3 linked regions of the Canis lupus familiaris genome follow. The main gene of each other region encodes a partner of the protein of the gene in region 3 in a complex. Links are inferred from orthologs where the notes say so. Each region holds a gene or a part of one and is shown on either strand. Other genes may lie near its edges.

Region 1 (5,188 bases), on a different chromosome or scaffold from region 3:
ATGGCTCCTGTGGAAGGCTTATAGGCCTCATAATTACTCATCACATTGTTGTTATTTCCTCGGTCCTTTAAAAAAACAAAAACAAAAACAAAACACACCTGTGAGGACAGAATGAGCACAATGCCAGAATAGGTCTCATATACTAGAAATAAGTGGGCACTACAATGGGAACAGGACACTTTATTTTGTGGGAATAGGTACAGTAATAATTATTTTAAAATGCTTATGTCTTTCTTTTTTTTTTTTTTGCTTATGTCTTTCAACCCAGTAATTGTTTTTAGGAATTAACCCTAAAGTCAAATAAAAAAATCCCCAAAGCTGATCATACGATATTATTCAAACCCAAACATAGTGTTTATGTAATTCTGTGTAGTTTTATGCTCAGAATGAAGAGGCCATGAGGCAATATATAGCATATGCATATAGCCTATACAGGGCTCAGGCTCTGAATCCACTCTTTTAAAAAAGTCCAAGTCTCAGTTTCAACATTTATCAGAGTGCAACCTGGGGTGCCTCAGTTTCATGACTTGTACACTGTGCTCACTGGGTGGTTGTGAAGATTGAGTTAACAGGCATGACTGCTTGCAGTGGCTGGCCCTGGCACACATTAAGTGCTCAACATTAGCTATAGTTATCATGTGTCATGTGCATCATTGTTACTGAGACATGGGAGCGATTCGTTATCAAAAACACCAAGCTAATGATATTGCTCCAGAAATACATAAACTGGCAGCTTTCTTCGGTTTAGGAATCAAAGTGACAGGAAATAGGCAGTTAAAGAAGCCAGTGAGGAGGTGCTTTTGTTACCTGTTTTGTGAGAAAAGCTTAGCTCTCATCTCCCTGATGCAATTTCCCATAGAGTGTAGAAAGCATTCCTGAGTTTAGTAAGAAAACAGAGTTCACAAAGTAACCCTATGGCAAGGTTTTCCTAGCAGCAGGCTCTTAGCCAGTGCTGGGGGGCTTAAGTTTCTGATTCACCAGGTCTAGGGTGGAACACGAAATTGCATTTACTGATGGCCCAGGGACCTCAATATGTAAACTGCTGCTAATCTAGACTGATTTCCTGAGTATGTCTAGTCACCAAGTACGCAGAGGTGTTTCAAGAGGAAGTTAAAACATTCCCTTCTAGACAGGGTTCTGAATTCATGAAGGCTTTGTCAAGCAGAGGAGGACAATCATAGCATCCTCCAGGACTCGGGAGCAGCCTGAAGGGCACTACAACAGTCTGGACTCACCGTGTTCTCCGAGCCTAGGCCAGGGCGCTCCCTATAGCCTAGGCCACCTCCACCAATGTTCAGCTTTTTGCCTTTTCCTCCTTTAAAGCGGGATTTCCGAAACCAGGCATTCTGCACACAATTCAACATAATTCAAGGTTAGATCACAGGAGGAAGAGGCAGCCAGAGGAGGAGGACATTATCAGAAAGTGGAAGAAATAAACTGCTTCATCTTTAGCCAGTATATTTATGGCAACCGTTCACAGGAACCACAGATGAGCTTCTTTTGGGAGTTTAGTCTACCAAATTTGTCAGGAGGCCTAGCTCCTTATCTGAGGCTTCCGTTATTACTGTTTCTCAGGGCCTCCAGGAAGAGAAATGAGTAGGTAAGCCTCAGATACAGAGCACTTACTCTGACCATTTCTAACTTTCTTGAGGAAAAGGAACTGATTTTCTGTTTCTCAATGTAGACATACCACTGGACATACACACATTGAGCTTATAAGAGGGCTTGGAAGTGAAAGAAAGGCTATGTGAAGCGAGGTTCATCAGAACTGGCTCTAGGAGCAGACGTTTAGGACTGCTAGCCAATAACTGAAAGTTTTATTTACCCATGGCCTATAGTGTTCCTTGAATCTGACCACTGCCAGCATACTGTAAGATTTATTTAGTTCTTTTCAGAATACAAATATCAACGGGAGAGGTAGCCCTTTATCTGATAATCACATGTTACAACCTAAGCGAAGTACTGGAGAGGTAGGGCTGTCTTCAGAAAAGCACTGACCAGGGAAGCTGATCACAGTCTGAGGGCACAGAAAGCCTAAAGCACAAAAAGAGATGTAGGAAAAAATCCAAAGACAAGATAATTCTGTTAAAAAATGTAGTTTACGGGATCCCTGGGTGGCGCAGCGGTTTAGCGCCTGCCTTTGGCCCAGGGCGCGATCCTGGAGATCCGGGATCGAATCCCACGTCAGGCTCCTGGTGCATGGAGCCTGCTCCTCCCTCTGCCTGTGTCTCTGCCTCTCTCTCTCTCACTGTGTGCCTATCATAAATAAATAAAAATTAAAAAAAAAAATGTAGTTTACAATTGGCTCACTGAACCCAGGAGAGGGAAGGATACCTCATTCTACTCCTTCCTGCAATTCAGGTCCTTTACTCTCAGAACCCAGAGCACAGGCAACAGTACCATACTGTAAGTGCAGTACAGGTTAACTGTCCTGTACACTGACTTATAAGTCTTAAAAACACCTAAGTCTCTACTATCAGAAGGTGTATATTGAACCCATTTGTAATCTAGAGATGACATCTATTACAATGACCCAGGATTTAATTCGGTAGAATGTCTAGCTTAGTTTTAGGTTAGTAATGAATGTGGTCAAAGATCTGGGACCTATGTCTATGAGAAATAGTCTATTAAATACATCGTTTTCTTAAGACATTACATGTTTTTAGCCTCCAAATGAGAAGAATGGAGAAAGGACAGTAAGGGGAAAAGTAGCCATCTTTGAGATTGCTATGGGGCAAGCAGGCAGAAATTTCAGAGGGACAGATTTTAGGAATAAGCTTTTCAAATAGATGTTGCTGAAAGAAGAGGATAGAATGAAAGACCAGATGAATTTTAATGTTCTAAAATACTAATCTGTACCTCATAAGCAGTGCCCCCCACCCATGGCTGCAACTTTCCAGTCCTGTGTCTATGTTATTCCCCCAGGCTTGCTGAATTTTTTTCACTTAGTTTTATAACCTGGAGCAATCTCAAGTGTACTCAGCCCCTCACCTGCATTGCCAGATCTAGGAGTTCCTTGGAAACATGCTGATTGGCTCCTTCCAAGTTCCGGACAAGGTCACCAGCAAAATTGCTGTCCTTGGGGGTCAGTAAGGTATAGGCCACACCTTTCTCACCCGCTCGTCCCGTGCGGCCAATCCTATGAGTATGAGTATCAATATCTCGTGCCACATCATAGTTAATGACAGTCTTAATTGAAGGAATGTCCAGACCACGGGCTGAAATAAAAACCACCAACTTTTTTTTATTCTTTAGTAGGAGTAAAAAAAACCCGGACTAACCCAAAATGCTAGCCAAGAGCCCACATTCCTCTTATATAGACAAAGTACATGGTTTGGTGATCTAGTAAGATACAAGCATTTAGGCTCCTGGTGACTCAGTGGCTGAGCATCTGCCTTCAGCTTGGGTCGTGATCCCAGGGTCCTGGGATCCAATCCCGCACTAGGCTCCCTCTGGGGAGCCTGCTTCTTCCTCCCTCCCTCTCTCTCATGAATAAATAAATAAAATCTTAAAACAAACAAACAAACTTTAAAGTTACCCTAAAGCAAATGCCACTATCATCAATTCTACGATGCTAGGCTGTTTAGCATAGGGGACACATGGCTTCTGCCATTAATAATATACCATGGCCTCTCTCTTACACCAGGAATATGTAAAATAAAGCATCAAACTGCTTTGAAGTCGAGAAATTATCTCCCTTATTGAGAGAAAATACCAATTTTTAAGGGTAGCTATCAAAACAAAACCAAAAATCATACTTCAAAAAACTTTTCAACTTTGAGTGAAGTACGCGCAATCAATGTCAGGTAGGTACTATGTTTAGACACATCATAAAGGCATAGCCTATGATGTAACTGGCTCAACAATATTTTTCCCTGAGTATCTTTCAACTGCAGGGATTCTTTTTTCAAAGAGAAACATACAGTGAAGATGGTACCCAGAGCTCCAGGTTGTGATCACTTATGGTCTAAACTGCTTGCTCCATTTAGTGTGCCCAAACAGGCCAGTTAGAGGGCCTTCAATCAGCCTGCTCATGTACTCAAGACAGAGCACCCTTACAGCAACAGGAATAGAAGATCACCAGGGAAGGTCGTACTCTACCTGCAACATCTGTGGCCACCAGGACTGGGATGTCCTTTTTCTTAAAATCTGAAATGACCTTGTTTCTTTCGCTCTGATCCATATCCCCATGAAGCAGCCCAAGATTATGACCCTCCTGCTTAAGGTTATTGGCTAGCTCCTCAGCATTGGCTTTTTTAGTAACAAACAGGAGGACACTTCCTGAAGAGGTAAATTCCACCAGACGCCGAGTGAGCCAGTTCCATTTACTAGGCCCAGAATGGAGAATTTCCACAATCTGTGTTACATCTTCATTTGCCTGAAAAGTAAGAAACAGATGACTATGATGTTTGTGCCAAAAGGCACCTGAACAAGGACCAGACATCACACTTTCCATCAACATAAGGACCTTCAACAGTCCTCCTCCTTGGGCTTTCCTTCAGTAAGTCAAGTGCAGCTCAAAACCTACATCCCTTCTCAAATTACTGCACTCACCATCTTCCCCAATTTGTACATATACCTATTTGTAAGCCCCAATATTTTGCAATCTGTTGTTATAGGCCTATTCAGATTACTCCTAATAAATTAAGCTCCTTTTCTGTCCTTCCCATTCACTGCTCCTAGTACAAGTCATACATGCACACAGAAGGCACTCAAAAATGGATAGTAGACAATGTCAAAATACTAACACCACAGAACTTTAGTAACAAACATGGCAAGCAACTTCAGGAATTCTCAAGGCAGCCAAATTTTCCACATTGGACATATGCAAAGGTAAGAAAAATACCATGAACTAAATTTCACCAGGTCTTTCAAGTCACCCCACTCCTTCTACAATCATTTAACATATGCGTTCCATCCTGAGAGCCTTGTTTTTCCCCTAAAAGATTGGGGGTTTTGTTTATTTTTATTACATAAAATTTTAAATAAAAAAATGAAATGAACATAATCACCTATGTACCCATCACCCAGCTTCAACAATAATCCATATTTTGAGAATCTATTGTCTCATTCAACTATCCTCCTGCCTTGTTTTTTAAAACAAATCTGAATTATGTTGCCTCATCTCTAAATATGTAACATAGTAACATGTTTTTTCTCTCATTAGTGAGCAATTCCACATCTCCAT
Region 2 (5,406 bases), on a different chromosome or scaffold from region 3:
AAAGTTACATGATGATATTCAACAAATACTTATCAAACATATGTAACTGGCTAAGCATTATACTACAATAAATATTTAAGTACTTGCGTGTCTAGGGATAATGATAGAAATACTTATTGAGATTTTATCACACACCAGGCAGTGCCCTAAGTACTTCACCTGAATTAAGATTTCATAAAACCCTATGAGGACCTAAGGAGGCCTCAGGAGATTTATAATTTAGCCATGCTCACACTAGTTTGTGGAGTTATGATTCAAATTGAGATGCTGAACTCCACAACCTACCATATTATGTGCTGTGGGAGATGCAAAAACTCTAGAAAATATGCTTCGCTAACTATGAGGGGAAGTTGGTTAGGGGAAGTGAGATCACATAAGGGAGCAAACTGAGAACAATACATAACCCTATAAAAATCAAGTGCTTTTGTGGCAGACTGCAAGTGCTATTTGGAGTACGGAAAGACAATGTGAATGGTGGGGCACCTGACTGACTAAGTCGGTAGACCATGTGATGCTTGATCTTGGTGCTGTAAGTTTGAGCATGTTGGGGATACAGTAATTAAAATCTTTTTTTTTTTTTTTTTTTTAAAGAGAAAAAGGAAGTATGAATGGTAATAGCCAAAGGATGGATATTGGAGCAAATTAGTGACAAGAATGGGGTAAACATAAAACTAGATGAGGCATTTCACCCTTATTGAAGCACAGAATTTATGCAGAAGGCAGGAAAAGACTGAGTCAATTCACATAGGTGCATAACATTAAGAACTTCAATAGCGGACAGCCCAGGTGGCTCAGCGGCTGGAGACCAGGATTGAGTCCCATGTCGGGCTCCCTGCATGGAGCCTGCTTCTCCCTCTGCCTGTGTCTCTGCCTCTCTCTCTCTCTGTGTGTCTCTCATGAATAAATAAATAAAATCTTTAAAAAAAAAAAAAATCCCAGCAAGTTTAAAGAAAAAAAAAAAAAAAAAAGAACTTCAATAGCTAATGTTTACTGCATTCTCAACAGGAGGCACTATGTTTCAGCCCTTTACATGGATTATTTCATACCATCCTCACACAACCCTCAAAGTAGGTCCTTTTACTGTACAGATTTCAGAGACTAGAAAAAACAGGCTTGTTGAGGTTAAATGACTTGTCCAAAGTCACGATGTTAGTAAGCTGTGAAGTTCGAAAACTTATCCAAACCCATTTTGTAATCTACCACAATATATGACTGAAGATTGTTAAGCAAGGTAATGACATTTAAGACTGGAGTTAAGATAGGGCAGCCTGGGTGGCTCAGCGGTTTAGCACCTGCCTTCAGCCCAGGGCGTGATCCTGGAGACCTGGGATCAAGTCCCACGTCCGGCTCCCTGCAGGGAGCCTGCTTCTCCCTCTGCCTGTGTCTCTACCTCTCTCTCTGTGTCTCTCGTGAATAAATGGGTAAAATCTTAAAAAGAAAAAAAAAAAAAAGACTGGAGTAAGATTAAAATAATACAGCGTTACTCAGTAATTCAGGTATGAACGAGGGACAACTGGGACCAATGTGCTAGCAATGGGAATGGCGGAAATGAAACTTAAGCTTAACTTGCACATTACCTTGCACTTTGTAAATTCATAAATTTAATAAGATAAACTTCCGTAAAGTCTTCTGCTGGGTATTCATCTAAAGCGTTATACTGTTCAATTGCACCATATAGAGCAAATCGCTCAACTAATTCCTTCATTGCTCCCACCGCAGGAACTCCTTGAATTAACAAGTACCGAGATTCCAAATTGATTGTATATACCTAAAAGAAATGCAGACACATAAAAATGTATTTTCCACATATTAGTGAACCCATGTGATACCTGCCTTTCTCTGATTGACTTATTTCACCAAATAACATAATACTCTCCAGTTCACTAATACATGGAATATAAGAAAGAGCGCAGAGGATCGTAGTTAAGGGAGGGAAAACTGAACGGGAAGTCATCAGAGAGGGAGAAACACCAAGAGAGACTCTTAACTCTAGGAAACAAACTGAGGGTTGCTGGAGAGGAGGTGGGCGGGGATGGGGTAATTCCGTGATGGGTACTAAGGAGGGCACATGATGTTATGAGCACTCGGTGGTGTACCTAACTGATAAACTATTGAACATCTGCATCTGACACTGTGTACTATACGTTGGCTAACTGAATTTAAATTAAAAAATGTATTTTCCAAATAAGCCTAAGACACATCTTCTATTTAAAAAAAAAGAAGAAAAAGCTCTGGGGATTAAAGAGTACATTTACAATGATGAGCACTAAATAACGTACAGAGGTGCTGAATTATCATATAGTACACCTGAAACTAATATAACGCTGTAGGTTAACTATACTAGAATTAAAATTAAAAAAAAAAACAAAAAACTTAAAGCCCTGAAAAGAAGAAACATTCTGTTCAGCCGGTCTGCAGAAAAAATAAAGAATAAATTCACCCCTCCGTGTCAGGGCCTCTAATTAAAACACAGAGTATCTTCAATGGACATATTTTCCGGAAGTTGGCTCAGGAGAAGTTAACTGGAGAGAGAGCGAGAACGATTCACTGAGCGCTTACCACGTAAGCACGGAAGATACAAAGACTAAAGCGGAGCCCCGTCCCCGCGGAGCTGACGTTCTAGCAGGTAGCCGAGGAGTTCGTGAGAACGTCTGGTAACTGAGCGCCGGCCTCTCGTCCCACCGCCGATGCCTGGTGGGCAGGCCCGCAGCCCCTCAAGCCTTCATCTATCAAGCCGGGCATGATAACGCTATCGAGGATAGCGAGTGAAAACCCAAGTCACTTTACCTTGACAGCGCGAGGCCGCCGCCCCTCCCGATACTTGGCCCGCGTGTCGCACACGGCCCTCTGGACGTGGTGATCGAATACGCCCCCGAGCTCCCCGCCGCTCGACGCCATCTTGCCTACTTGGCTCCGGCCAAAACGACAACATCCGCCGGGCCGCCCTCCCGCCCACCCAATGACGGAGGGGAATGGGCCACGGCGTGCCTGGATTGGCTGGAGAGCCGACGGCGGCCCGCATCGTTTCCGGCGAGTGAGACTTGGGTGAGCGAGGTGCCGCCCTCCGGCGGCGCGGCGGAGAGGCCCGGGACTGCTGGGGAAGCTTGCTTGCCCCTCCCTCCTCGGACGGGCGCGCGGCGAGGGGGCGGGGCCGCAGGGGGCGGGGCCGATCGATCTTCTCCGGCTCCGACGGCCTCGGCCTGCCCCGCGGCGGGCGTCGGCTGGAGCGGGCTGCCGCGGCGGGGGCGTCTTCGGCGCCGGACGATGTGGGGCGGCGACCGCCTGGCGGGTGCAGACGGGGGTGGGGTGGCGGCGACTGTCGTCTTCACCAACGCTCGCGACTGCTTCCTCCGCTTGCCGCGGCGCCTCGTGGCCCAGCTGCACCTGCTGCAGGTACCGCGCCGCCCGCGGACGGGGCTCCCCGCCCAGACTCGGGACACCTGGGAGCAGCCTGGGGGCGGACGGGGCTGAGGCCTTGGAGGCACGCGGCGACCCTCAGGCCCCCCGCCCCGAGCGGCGTGGCGAGGGCTGCCTTTCCGCCGTCGCCGCCGAGCGGTTCAGAGGCCGGACTGAGGGCCCCTCGAGGGCACGGCCGCCGGGGGCAGGTCGTGCAGCCCTGGGCCTTTAACTTGCCCTGTTCCAGGTGTTTTCACTCCATGAGACTGGGCTTACAAACATCCTAAGTCTACGTCTGCATTCAGAAATATTCCTCACTCCGGTTTGGAAAAGCTCCTGGGAAGTCGCTAATTTTTATTTTTATCTTGAAAAATGTTTTTCTTGGCAGTGATTTCCAGATCCCTGCACGACTGCCGTCCTGGACTCCAGAAGGAGGGGCGGGTTGGGTTTGCAGAGCCCCTGTAGATTAACAGCGGAGCACCGCGGCCCCCATGCGGAGTAGGTCACTAACCAGAGGCTCCCCCCAGTCCGGGGTGTGCCGGGGATGTGCAGTAGAACTCTGCATACCTGGAGGTACATAGGTAGGATTACTTGAGCCTCTGCCGTCAGTCGTCCTTTTTTTATTAATTACTGGCAGAAATACAGCATCCGCATTTTCATAGCTAGAGATAGAGACCTGTAGTCTGTGAGTCTGTGTTTATGCAGGCAAAGGGATGGGATCTTTGAAATCCTCAGAAATCCTGAATGCATGGTACCCACAACTGGCTCATCATGAGGGGGATATTTAAGAGTTTCCAATAGTTTTAAGTACCCGACCTTTCCATCTTACTTCTCTGGAACTGTTTTTTTCTAGATTATTCCCCCCCCCCCTAGAATTATTGGACTAGAAGGCATAGGTGAATTATTAAAGCAGGAAGTCATGAATTGGGAGCTAATGTGTTGAATTATTTTATCTGGGCTGAAGTGTGGAGTACATAATACTGTAATGCTGTAAAGGGGAAGAGGGTCAGAAGAGTGGTTTTCTGGCCTGTGTCAGGCTTACCTTGAAGCTTTTAAAAATGGGAATGTTCTGGTCCTTTCTCAGACCTGTTGAATCAGAATCTTGGTGAGTGAGCTTCAGGCATCTGTAATTATAAAAATACCTTTGGGCTAGTGGATGCAAAGGAACTGAGACTCGCTGTTATAGAATCATAGAATGTTAATGGTGATAGGGACCTGGGGTTTCTAGGTCATTTCTGTACTTTCACATGTTAGGAAACTAGCAGTCCTAGGGAGGGTACCATTTCTAGTTAATTTGTCCTCTTGTCTCTCACTCTGCAGCATCCAGACTGGCCTTCTCACTGTTTCTTTCATAACCCAGCTCCTCCCTACTTCTGTACTCTTACTCATGCTATTCTTTCTCCCCAAAACGCTTTTCTTCATTTTATGCCTTCAGAAGCTGAACATAATCTTATACCTCCTCCATCTGGCTTTCAAATTCTCAGTTGATCACATTTGTCTCCTTTTCAAAACTTCACTGTTTATGTGACACATCCCTCTTGTACTCTATGTTTCAAGTATCATCTTTTGCTTATCCAAGTACTTATTTTGGGGCTGGATACGCAGTAGATGCTTTAACCCAGGATTTTTTAATCTTGGCACTTGAGGCTGGGTAATTTTTTGTTGTGGGAGACTGTGAGTATTTTAAGATATTTAACAATATCTTTGACCTCTTTCCACTAGATGCCAGTAGTACACCTCCTCCAGTAGTGACAGCCAAAAAATAAAAGTTTCCACATGTTGCCAGATGTCTCCTGGGAACAAAAATCACCGCCAGTTGAGAACCATTGCTCTAACTCCGTTATTTTGTCTGTATGCTGGGCTCCGTGCTTCCTGTGATTGCTGAAATGGGGAGAGGGTTCACAGCCACACTGAATGCAGACAAATCTAAATCTCCATCCAGAAATGGCTGGGTACAAACTTAGCATTTCTTTTGTGTTAGCAAGGGAGAACCCAGGCCTTGGATCTGGC
Region 3 (3,908 bases):
GGTATCATTTATGTTAAACTTCAAATAACCCCTTAGATACACAAACTTTCAGCAATCAACAGCAAAAACAAAAAACCCCAACCAGACTGGGAAATGGTGACCTTTAAATTCAAGCTGGTTTCTTGAAGTAAATAGATTATGGAGGGGAACACAGAGAACTTCATTTTTTATATTTTATGTCTTTGAAAACCAAAACCAAAACAAATATAACCAAGTTGGAAGCAATGGCAAAATGGTAAGCTCTGATATATCTGGACAGTGAATCCTCAGGTATATCTTATAACAGTCTCCACATTTTAGGAATGAAATGTTATATAACATGGTTTAAACCAAAGAATAAGACTTTTATTTTTCCATTTTTGGTACAGGCATTTGTTCCCATAAAGAATGCTTTTTGTCATTTTCTTTCCTTTAAATATTTTTTTTTTTTTAGAAAATAAAAATTGCTTATGTTTTAGGTTTGCAACATGATTTAATGGATATGCATAATGAAATGATCGCTACAGTTGAGCTAATCAACACGTCCTGAAATCCACTCTCTTGGCAAATTTCTAATATTCAATACAGGATTAACTTCAATCATCATGCTGTGTGTACATTAGATCTCTAGACTTACTCATCTGTACCTAACTGCAGAACAGAACTATTTTAAAGTCATCTTTCTCCCACTAAAGAGTCCCTTCTATTTGCTGCCACAGTTGTTCATCCATTCATCAAACGTTTTTTGAGAATGCGAGCTCTACCAGGCCAAGTATCGCAAGTGTGGTTATCACAAAAAAGATGCCACAAAAGAAGCTATGATAAATGATGGCATCAAAAAAGTATACGCTACTTTCCCCCAAGTAGTTTGAATTCACACGAGGGAGTTCTCAGAAAAAAAAAAAAAAAAAAAGAACCCAAAGCGTAGGCTATAAGGCGATCATAATGAAGCGATGTACAGGAGACTTTACGTCTGTCTGGTGTGGCCAAAGCCGATTTCAAGGAGATGCTTTTGAGCTGACTTAAAGAGAGAAGTTGTTTGCCAAGGGAACAAAAGCATTCCAAGCGGAGGGAACATCTAGTACAAAGAACTGGAGAGGCGAGCGGCACGGAATGCTGAGACACACAGGCTGGGGTGCGTAGGGTGGGGCGAGCAGCTGGAGGCAGGACATCAAATGAAGCAGCTGGAGCGCCGGGGGGCGGGGGGGGGCGGGGGGGGCGGGGCTCGGTGTGGGAGCCCGAACGTGTCGGCGCCCGAACGTGTCGGCGCCCGTAGGGTCCTCGGGCACCGGGCGGGAAACGGCGGCCCCGCCAGCGCTGAAGGAAGACGCACAGCTGGGAGCCGCAGTCGCGTCGACCGATTCTCAGGGTGACCCACCCCGGGCCGTGACGGGGCCCACCACGCCGCCACATTCGCTCCGAAACCAAAGTTACACCGAGGTTACTCTCACGGCGGCCTGTGGCAGCTCCCCATTTCTTCGCAGCTCCCAGCCGCCCAGGGATGCTCCCCGCCTCCCCGACACGACGCTCCACCAGGCGCCGGCGGGCTCTTAAACCGCGACGACCGCCCAGGGAGGCGGGCGCGCACGAACCCTCGGCGACCGCAGCTCCCGGCATGCAACGCTCCGCGCTAGAGCAAGGGCCACTGAATGAACCATGATGCAACGCTCTACGGAGGGGGCGGAGCTCTCCATGGCGGGGGCGGGGGGTGGGCGGCCGACTGGTAGCGTCGCCTAGGCAACTCCAATTCCCTGACGGAATACACTTCCGCTTCCTCCTCTGAGCGCTAGGACCGCGAGTCCTCGCGGCTCCGTGGCTGTGACGTCATTCTCCTGCGACTGAGCCGGCCGGGAGGTGCCGTGTCGTGGGCTCTCTCCCGCGTGGAAGTCTAGAGCAGCTTCTCCTCTGCGGCGTCTGACCTGGGCGCGAAGGGAAAGCGGCGAGATGACTGACCGCTACACTATCCACAGCCAGCTGGAGCACCTGCAGTCCAAGTACATCGGCACGGGCCACGCCGACACCACCAAGTGGGAGTGGCTGGTAAACCAGCACCGCGACTCCTACTGCTCCTACATGGGCCACTTCGACCTTCTCAACTACTTCGCCATTGCGGAGAATGAGAGCAAAGCGCGAGTCCGCTTCAACTTGATGGAGAAGATGCTGCAGCCTTGCGGACCGCCAGCCGACAAGCCGGAGGAGAACTGACACCCCCGTCTCGTCACTGCCACGCGGGAGCGTGTCCCGAGTTCCTCCCGTTTGCCGTTTCTCCCGCGTGTTCCTGCCCCGAAGTGGACCGGTTCTCCATTGCTCCTGTTTCTCGCGCCTTCCTCGTGCACAAGTGCTTAGCTGAGGCCGTCCCGCCTGACCTGCTTTCCTGTGGACCCTTAGGAACAGCGTTGGGAGACTGTCAGGACCCGTGAGAACTGAGACGGTGGAGAGGTCCTAAACCAGCAAGAGAGGGGGGAAGGAACTGGGATCAGACGGGATTTGGAGGCTCTTTTTTGGCTAGTTGATTGTCGTTTCTTTTTCCATAAAGTCTAGAAGTTTTTCAATCACTTGGTGTGGACCACTTGCGTTTGAGTGGAAGGGGGTCCAAGGAGGGCTTTGGGGACTTTAGTTTCTTGGGAGACCGAAGAGGCGGGAGATGGATGGGTGGAGGAGTTGAGCACAGGGCCAGCGTTCATTGGCATACAGTTAAATCCGCCTTGCACGATCTTTATAATATTCCCCAACCCAGACTTCTCCCAAGAGCTTTTTTCAGGCCCATAATGCCTTCAGGACTGAGGATTAAGGTTTATGATCACTGTATCCCTCTTTCATGTTCTTGCATTCAGAAAAATCTTTACTAGCATTGCCCACTCCTCTATGTAAGTTGCATCGTCTCTTTCTCTTGGGATTCTGGACACATCCTGAAAAACGACAGGCTGTCAGACGAGTTCTTTCATTCATTCGGCATTCAACAAATACTTGTTGAGTCAGTTCTATGTGGTGGGCATTTTGCCTCGCTTTTGGAGCTTATGTTATACTTGGGGGGGCACACAAATTGTAGGCATAAACAAGTTTATTAGGTGTTGTGCAGGATGGGAGTAGCAGTACGTTTGCACTTTCAAACAAGATGCTTATGTTAGACTATAGAGATGGTTACACTTGAGCAAGACTAAGGAAGGGAGGGAAATAGTCACACAGAAAACAGGGAATTGCTTTCCAGGCAGAGGGAACTGCTAGTGCAATGGTGGTAATACTGAAATTATCTGGCTTTTTGGAGGAACATCAAAGAGGCAAATGTGGCTGGAGGGAGTGAGCAAGGGGAGGAGTAGAGGGATGGGTGATGGAGGAGGAACAGGTAAGAGTAGAGCCTGCTAGGCCAGTGCAAGAACTTGTGACTTTATCCTGAGGGGAATGAGGAGCCATTGGGACTAATGGTTTTAAGTAATGTGAGCTGACATATTTTAGATCAGTAATTCTCAAACCTTTTGGCCTTGGGACTTCATTACGTTCTTAAAAATTCTTGAATACCACAGAGTCTGTTAATGAGGGTTCTAGCTGTTGATATTCATCAAATTGGAAATTAAAACAAAATTGTAAAATATTTAGTAATTCGTGTAGATAACAATAAAACCATTACATGTTAGCAAACACACTTTATGAAAAATAACTTTTTCCAAAAGCAATTCAGTGAGAAGAATTAAAAAAAAAAAACAGTTTTGCAAATGTCTTCAATGTCAATGTCAGGTTTAACAGAAAAGAGCTGGACTCTCCTGTCTGCTTCTGTATTTGAACTATTGTGATACGAAGTTTTGGTTGAAGTCTGAAAAGTCCACAAAAATATGTGGTAAGGGAGAAATATTCTAATAACCTTTTCAAGTAATTGTGGATAATTGTTAATTCTCTAGCAAAACTCCCAAGTAGTAATTTCTTAAGTTATTTCT

What was found.
Region 1: the proteins of SF3B5 (region 3) and DDX42 are in contact, whole or in part, in a cryo-EM structure (PDB 7EVN), measured with the Homo sapiens proteins. The link is inferred for Canis lupus familiaris from reciprocal best matches to the Homo sapiens genes SF3B5 and DDX42. Residues at the interface, in NP_112577.1 of Homo sapiens: Arg4, Tyr5, Thr6, Ser9, Gln10, His13, Leu14; in NP_031398.2 of Homo sapiens: Asp156, Ala159, Tyr160, Phe161, Tyr163, Met164, Asn167.
Region 2: SF3B5 (region 3) and RBM48 share a complex: the UniProt entries of both Homo sapiens proteins name them as parts of the minor spliceosome. The link is inferred for Canis lupus familiaris from reciprocal best matches to the Homo sapiens genes SF3B5 and RBM48.

What each region holds. Positions count from the first base shown.
Region 1 is NC_049230.1:15,154,677-15,159,864, forward strand, and holds part of DDX42 (ATP-dependent RNA helicase DDX42), read right to left. Parts: intron 4,379-5,188; coding exon 4,102-4,378; intron 3,219-4,101; coding exon 2,992-3,218; intron 1,347-2,991; coding exon 1,236-1,346; intron 66-1,235; coding exon 1-65. UniProt on the Homo sapiens protein: ATP-dependent RNA helicase that binds to partially double-stranded RNAs (dsRNAs) in order to unwind RNA secondary structures. Unwinding is promoted in the presence of single-strand binding proteins.
Region 2 is NC_049235.1:18,067,087-18,072,492, reverse strand, and holds the start of RBM48 (RNA-binding protein 48), read right to left. Parts: upstream 2,944-5,406; 5' UTR 2,933-2,943; coding exon of another isoform or gene 2,899-2,932; coding exon 2,788-2,898; intron 2,716-2,787; exon of another isoform or gene 2,560-2,715; intron 1,769-2,559; coding exon 1,578-1,768; intron 1-1,577. UniProt on the Homo sapiens protein: As a component of the minor spliceosome, involved in the splicing of U12-type introns in pre-mRNAs.
Region 3 is NC_049222.1:35,794,093-35,798,000, reverse strand, and holds SF3B5 (splicing factor 3B subunit 5), read left to right. Parts: upstream 1-1,789; 5' UTR 1,790-1,923; coding exon 1,924-2,184; 3' UTR 2,185-2,534; downstream 2,535-3,908. UniProt on the Homo sapiens protein: Component of the 17S U2 SnRNP complex of the spliceosome, a large ribonucleoprotein complex that removes introns from transcribed pre-mRNAs.